Schizosaccharomyces pombe: one gene and its partner. The protein of the gene in region 1 interacts with the protein of each later gene in a biochemical or structural test. Each region holds a gene or a part of one and is shown on either strand. Other genes may lie near its edges. The genes, in order: sap49 and prp11.

Evidence for each region.
Region 2: the proteins of sap49 (region 1) and prp11 form a complex in vitro, tested with the Schizosaccharomyces pombe proteins (one study listed by BioGRID).

The regions. Positions count from the first base shown.
Region 1 is NC_003424.3:2,987,494-2,991,402, reverse strand, and holds sap49 (U2 snRNP-associated RNA-binding protein Sap49), read right to left. Parts: upstream 2,031-3,909; 5' UTR 2,008-2,030; coding exon 1,896-2,007; exon of another isoform or gene 1,839-1,895; coding exon 943-1,838; 3' UTR 586-942; downstream 1-585. Other genes in the region: chaperone Rot1, read right to left, coding at 132-246, 296-430; mca1 (transcription factor), read left to right, coding at 2,974-3,909.
Region 2 is NC_003421.2:517,810-521,739, reverse strand, and holds the start of prp11 (ATP-dependent RNA helicase Prp11), read right to left. Parts: upstream 2,229-3,930; 5' UTR 2,201-2,228; coding exon 1-2,200. Other genes in the region: rad16 (DNA repair endonuclease XPF), read left to right, coding at 3,837-3,930. UniProt on the Schizosaccharomyces pombe protein: ATP-dependent RNA helicase involved in pre-spliceosome/complex A assembly and mRNA splicing. Bridges U1 and U2 snRNPs during pre-spliceosome assembly and enables stable U2 snRNP association with intron RNA.

The DNA of each region.
Region 1 (3,909 bases):
CTAAACATGAACGAGAAAGTAGTCCGTATATCCCAATAGTTACGTCTTCATCGGCTTTAATTCCTTGGATCAACCACACTGTAGGTGTTGACTGGAGAAGATTTTACATATTATAGAGTATTATCACATACCATTTGATTTGATTATGTAAATAGCTTCCTCAAAAAAGCCATCATCAGTAAAGCTATAACTAATACCCGGTAATTCAGGTTCGAAGAAATCCTCATCCAAAGGGTCAAAGAAATCCTGCAGAGGGTTAGTTAGACAATTTTTTGAAAATCAAAAGTTAGCTTACGGGGCCAGTCAAAACAGTTTCAGACTTGGAAGACCAAGTTCCGACTAGATTTTCATCGTAATTATCAATTTCCGCACCAACATATTGGGTGAGCCACAAACAGGTAAACAAACCAATTTGATAAAGAAGATGCATTGTGCTGAATGCTTTCTTATAGTTTTCTAAAGGGTCGAATAAGAAGCTGTTACCAATGTTTATGCAAAAAACTTCTATATGGTTGTTGACACAAGTCTTCGTGTACTTGATTTATTTAGTTTTACGGGATAACGAGTCAAAAATAATACTTCACTAATATTGGTCAAGAGATTAGCAGCTTATATTTAATATAATGCTTAGACTATACTTTCGTTTGGATTGTATACATAATTCAATGTATCTGAAAATATGTTGGATTGAATTAATGCGTCGTTTATAGACTATATTGCCGATATTTAGGGACGAAGTAAAACTCATTACTAGAAAAAGTCAAACTGTAAAATATAAACAAACATCAATTTTAATTTCTTTTAAATAAGATAAATCTCAGCTTCCACTTTTTTTACTGTACACGTTAAAAAAAAAATCAACCATACGGATCAATCTCAGCTATTTTACTATGCCGGCGTTTGAGCAACAATGGTAGTTATTTTGCTTCTTTTTAAAATATTTTACCTCCTTTGTTGTTGACTGTATCCATTTTGTGCATTGATTGTTTGATAAAATGGTATGTTTGGCATTACAGGAGCACCAGGTATGGTAGCAGCAGCAGGAGAAGGAGAAGCCATCACCATTCCTGGTGGTGGAGGGGGGACAAGTGGTGCACCTCCAGGGCCCATTGGAACATTCATCATTGGCATAGCAGGCATTCCAGGGAAATGCTGTGCAGCAGTGAAAGGAAGAACATTAGGTATTGACAAGGGAGGGACGGCAGTAGTTGCTCCCACTAGAGGAACATTCGGTACAGGAGGTATCGATGTAGCAGCAATTGTTGCTGGAGTATTAGCAGCAGATGTTGGAGCAGGAGTGGCGGGTGAAAATCCTGGAGGCAGAGTACTCTGAGGAGTAACGGCAACTTTATTCTTTTTAGCGGCTGCTGCTAGCTTTCTTTCCGCAATATCTCCGTGACGTTCACCCTTTCCTTCGCGTTTAAAGGCGTATGACACGGTAATTGGTTTATTCATTAAAAACTGATTATTCATGGCCTCAATGGCTGCATCAGCGGTTTCAAAAGAATCGTAGCTAACAAAACCATAACCTTTCGACCTTCCATTCTCGTCTCTTGCTACCTGAGGTGCCTTGACAAGTTGTCCCAAAGCAGAAAATGTATCGTACAATACGCGTTCATCAACAAGAGGATCCAAGTTGCCAACAAATAAATTTGCACCAATTAAGGTATTGACTCCTCTGTCCTGGCTAGCTCTATTGACCCTTATAGGCTTTCCAAACAACTTTACTTGATTCAGAATTTGACATGCATACTCAACATCTTGTTCGTGTAAGAATTCGCAGAAACCAAAGCCATTATGACTATTCCTTACTCTATCTCTTGGAATATGAATATTTACTGTATGAATTAGTATCGAAAGCCACAAATACAACCAACACTCGAATAATTACATACCAACTGGACCTGCCTGCAGGCATAACTCAAACAAAATAGAATCCGTTACTTTTTCATCAAGATTGCCAAGATATATAGTTGCATCCTGATTCCTGTCTTCTCGAATACTCATTAATAAATAAGTAAAAATAAGTTAAAGTGTCTATTATAGAAATTTATTAGAATAAATAGATAGACACGTTTGAAGACGCTGGTAGAAGATTCAAGAAATTGGTGCATAGTCTCGTTATTGACTTAATGACGAGCACCAAATAGCACAATAGAAAACTAAATTACAGTATTCATCGTTAAAATTTCAGTGTCCAGCGTTTTCCAAACACATTTATGGAGATTTTTAATACTAAATCTTCGTTTTTTTTTTATTATTTTATAATTTTACTCATGAGATTGAATTATATTCAAGTTGAAGGTACAGTTGTGAATGGTAGACTGACGAAATATTTTTTATAGCAACCTATCTCTTTATACAGCCCTAATTTCCTTACATCCATCGTACACTAGTACATTTAATAGGTTCATTTATTAACTTTTTGTAAAAACGATGTTTGGCCATGTATATTTATTTTTGCTGCTGTAGTTTTGAACACAACTGAGGGCTTATTTATGTTACCCTAGATGGGCTTTTTACTCCCATGTGGTCTTTGTAACCTTCTTATGATCTTCACCCTTCAGGTGATACCACGACTTCAGTTGAATTTTATAGCTTTTCGAGTGTGTTTTTAATCAAAATATTTCTGTGATGTTGGTGTTTTGAAAAAGCGTACTTGTGTAGTCCTAGATGCCCCTTTTTTCTTTCACTTAAGTCTATTATTGTTTATGTTTAATTTTCTACTTGCAAACTTTTCGAAAGGACTGTTCGTAGCCTTTACGTTTATTGCTTATTTATTTTTTCTGATTTAAGCTCGTGAGCTTTTTCTAACAGACGTACGATCAGACAATTGGCACGTCTGCTTTTCTTTTCTTTTCTTTTTTAAGACCTGTCTACTCAACGCAGGATTTCTTCGATTATCTAGGTTTTTAAACGGTTTAAAAGGACACAGAATATTTTATTACTTCATTTTAGTATTTTATTTTCGACATGATTGCTGCTGTCGAAAAAGATGCTGTGCCTCGAAAAAGGCGAGTAATCAGTCAAGTATCTCAGGCATGCATTCGGTGTAGGCAGAAAAAAATAAAGTGTTCTGGTGAAAAGCCATCATGTCAAGCTTGCAGTAACAACAAAGTTGAATGCATTTGGCCTGATCGACCGAATATGCGAGGCAAAAAGCCATCTTCCGCTGCCAGAACCTTGAGTCCTCTTACTGGTATAGTGCAACCGTATCTGGGCTCTCATCCTTTTTCTCCTACGATCCTCTCTCCATCATCTCCTAACATGGATTTTACTTACTCTATTAATAGCTTTGGTGACTATCAGAAGCAGTTAAGGCTACCAACCAGTAGAAAGTTATTACAGCTTTGGGACATATTTCTTAAAACTTCATATACCGAACTTTTTGGGATATTTAATAAGGCCCAAATTACGTCTCAAATTGCAAGTGATACTGCTCCGCCAGTCCTCGTACTTTGTATATGTGCTCACGCTGCTCGTTTCAGTCAAGAGGAAGTCAATAGATTTAAATCTTCAACTGCAGCATCTGATTACTACGCAAACCAAGCCTTTTCACTGCTTCCTTGTCGTTTCCAGGATATTTCACTGACTAATATCACTTGCCTGCTCTTGCTTTGCTTAATTGAGTTGGGCTCTTGTAGAGGCGCTAAAGCCTGGCTTTTACTGGGTATGGCTCTCCGTATGGTCGATTCTTTAGATCTTGGTAACGAAATAAATGATAATCCTCTTACGATGGGATCCAACACTGTTTCATGGACTGAAGCCGAGCAGAAAAGAAGGGTTTATTGGGCTTGTTTTTTTGTCGAACGTTTGCTAAGTACAGGTTACATGGCACCTTCAAAATTGCGCTCACTTTCTTTATCTCTTCAAAAGACTAGTATACAATTACCTTGTCCGGAACCTAAT
Region 2 (3,930 bases), on another chromosome or scaffold:
CGTCAAGCCCACGAGCAACTACACTAGTTGCGATTAATACATCAAATACTCCTGCTTTATAATCACTGATGGTTGAGTCGCGATCGTGTTGATCCTTACCGCCATGAATTGAATTACTTGTATACCCGCGTTTCATAAGGTCCGACAAAAGTGCATCCGCAGACTCTTGTCTATCCACAAAAACAAGTGTACGTACATCAAGTTGATTGTTGTACAACTCACCTAACAGCTCTAATAGCCGAGAAAACTTGCTTTCCTCAGGCCGTACTTCAACGATTTGCTCAACCTCAGAAGCAACAACCGACCGTCCGCCAACCGTAATCTCTACAGGTTTCTTTAAAACTTTCCTTGCAAGGGCTTCCATAGCACGAGGAAAGGTAGCTGAAAATAGTACGGTTTGCCGATCAGGTCGAATATTGTTAATAATTCTCATGACTTGCGGTTCAAATCCTAAATCAAACATACGATCGGCCTCATCCAAAACCAAATAAGTGCAGCGGTGTAAGTTAGTAACACGTCCTGCATTCGCACTTAAAACATCAATCATACGTCCAGGAGTACAAACTACGATTTCTGCACCGCGTTTTAAATCAGCAATTTGGTCTTTAATAGGGGCACCTCCATATGCACAACACGCACGAATGTTCAATAACTTTAAGAAAGGTTTACATTCGCGAAAAATTTGCACAGCCAATTCACGAGTAGGAGTCATTATTATTGCAATAGGACCCTCTCCTGTTTTTAATGGGCGCTGATCTTTGATGTGTCGAAACATAGGAAGAAGAAAAGCAATGGTTTTTCCACTTCCTGTTTTAGCTACGCCAATTACATCTCTGCCAGAAGTAATCGCTGGAATTGCTTGTGCTTGAATAGAGGTTGGTTTTTCGTATCCCAAGGAATTGATCACGCTTATGGTTTGGGCAGATAAACCACATTGACTCCAACTAGTAACTGGCTTCGGGCAATCAATACCACGAATTTTAATACCATCTAAAGAAGCCCGTAGTTCATCAACTTCAGCTGGTGACAGATTTTTGAGCTCTTCAGGTTCAACATAGAAATCCTTTTTGAAATCTTCATAATTTATTTTTGAGTGATCAACTGTGATTACGTCTTTCTTTTTTGATCGTTTTGCAGCAAGAGCAAGTAAATTTTCTTCCTCTTCCAAAGTCTCTGAAATTACCATGCGCTCGTCATCGTTTGCATTCGGATCAATGACCTCCGTATTTAATAAACCAGGCCTTATGGTATCAGTGGTACCAACCAAAGAGGCCATGTAAGCATCTAAAGGATCTACTTCGTCTTCCTCCATGCTAGCTGCTTGCTCATTTCCTAGCATACCCCGGTCTTCTTGGTCCCAAAGCTCCTGGTAGTCTTCAAGATTCATACGCCTAGGACCATCTTCATCATCCATGTGAACTCGGTTATTTCGCTTCATATCCGAAGTATCTTTTTGGCGATTAATCTCAAACCCGGATATACCAGTTGAAGGCATAGCATTCTGGTCTTTGGCTGTAACCTGCGGCTTTGTATTCAACTTGTGCTCCTCCTTCTTGGAAGCCTCCTGTTTTGCCTTTGACTCTTTCCACGCTCTAACTCGTTCTAGCCTGGCGAGTAGCTTAGCATCCGTAATTTTGTCTGACGCTACTGGCTTTTCAGCATTTCGTTGATGATTATTTTCAACAGCTTTATCCTTGGGAATTACATCAACTCGTGGATTTTCAGATTGAATTTCTGAAACACTTAAAGAAGCACCAACTCTCTCAGTTCGATCAAATCGAGAACGTCTAGGCTGAGGCTTTATTTCAGTTGCGGAACCTTGTAATACAGGATTTGTTTCATCTGATTTAGTTTTATTGTCTACTTCTTTTTCCTCAGCATGTCTATGAGATGTTGGTCGCGGTGACCTACCAATATACTGATCGGGAATATTCTTTGATCTCGCATACTCTCGATCTCGCTCTTGATACCTTTTTTCGTAACTATACTTATCATGCTTCCAAGAATTATCTCTTCTAATTTTATTAGACTCGTGAGAACGAAAAGAATCATGCCTATCTCGTCGACTTGATACATCGTCTACGTATCGGTTATACCGTGCACCCTTTTGATCTTCAGAGTCATCATATTTTCGGTAATCTCTTCTTTCTCTATTGTAGGATCGCCTTGGAGGCGACCTTGATCGTGTTCTTCTAGACATCAAAAACTGGGTGTTGTGATATGTACACGAAGAGTTTTAATGAGGCAAGTAAACGACATAAATTACTTTATATAGCAATATATATTATGCATATGATATTAGTTCACTACTAGATATAATTTACATTATTATAGTTAACCTCTTTATGATTATTTATACAAGTCATATGGGGTTTATTAAAAAGCAATGAATTTGCCAGTTAAGTCGGTAAAGCAACCTGAATTCTGTGCAATTTATAAATCTTAGAAGTAATATTCATTTTTTATTTCAGTTATTTAAAATTTAATTATGGTTCCCTACACTGGACCTTCAACTTAACCAGTAAAACTCGGAAAAATAATCAACACTGGTATATAAGTAATTTTTTCAACACCGCTTACATTTTGATTGTTGCTGAATTTTTATTGCTTTTGTACTAAAGATAATATCGGAAAACCGAGAAATAAAAGACGATAAAAAATTTTATTGATTGGCGAATAGGCGAGTTAGCTCTTTTTATTTACAATATTTCTTTTTTTATGTAAATAACTATTGGGGTTAAGGCTTGGAATCCACAATTCTTGATTACTAGTAAGGTACTCTTTCAAATGTCTGTTAAACAGTCATCTACAATAGAATGTAATAAGTCAGATAATTTAGAGCGTACATAAATTAAGAAAAGCCATTATTTCCATTCCAAAAAAGAAAAAAAAAAAAGCATAATTGAAATTTACATAATGTTATACTTTTTCTATAATGTTTATGTTTTTGCGCTCTTCGACCAATAATATTGACTTAGCAGAAAACCAAAAAACGAAAATTCTTTAGTAATGCCAAATGAAAGAGAAAATTATTTATGTGTATATTTATTTTTATTTTTTTTAAGTGTATTTTTTCGCCATTTACTCGATTTAACAGTGATAGTATTAATAGCTGGCATTATTTTTCTGGTATTGCTTTATAATTTGATATACTTAATACTGGGATAATTGTTTTTAGGATGAGCAATGGTTATACGCATGTAATGAAGTTAGAAACCGACAGCAAATAAATCTTACATTTTGAAAGAAAATTTAAAAAATATGGTTGTCCAAATACAAGCGATGGGATACCCCAACGTGAATACATGGAAAGATTGAATGTAGAGTATCTAATTAAGGAGAATTAAGCTAAGGCATGAACTATGCCCGAAACTGAGCAATGGTTAAAGAGTATATTAAGTAATTTATTTTACCCAATATATTGAAACTAGTTTAACCTCTAGTTGGTATGTATAGTTGGTTGCTCATTTTTACTGATTGCTGTATTCCATTCACTCTTTCATCTTTAGGTTAAATATTTGTATTTGGTTCTCCTTGGATACTTTTATCAGTTGGTAATCATTTTTAAATTCATTGTCTTATATAGGATTTTTGTTTTGTACAGATTCTTCCTTTCATCATCCTTGAGAGTCTCTTAACTTCACGATCCGCCTAAATTCCTAAGAAGGAGTCTATCTCATGCTACTGTTTTTTATTTAACACATTTGTGAACGGAAATAGAAATAGAGTTGATTATTCCATCCAAATTGGAAAATTTTCGCATCAAAGTATTTAACAGCTTTCAGAAATCAAAATTGCAAATTGGAAAATCTCTACGAATAACACCACCATTAAATATGGAAACAAAGGTTCATTTGCCTCTTGCTTACCAGCAGCAGGTTTTTAACGAACTTATTGAAGAGGATGGTCTGTGTGTAATTGCACCAGGTT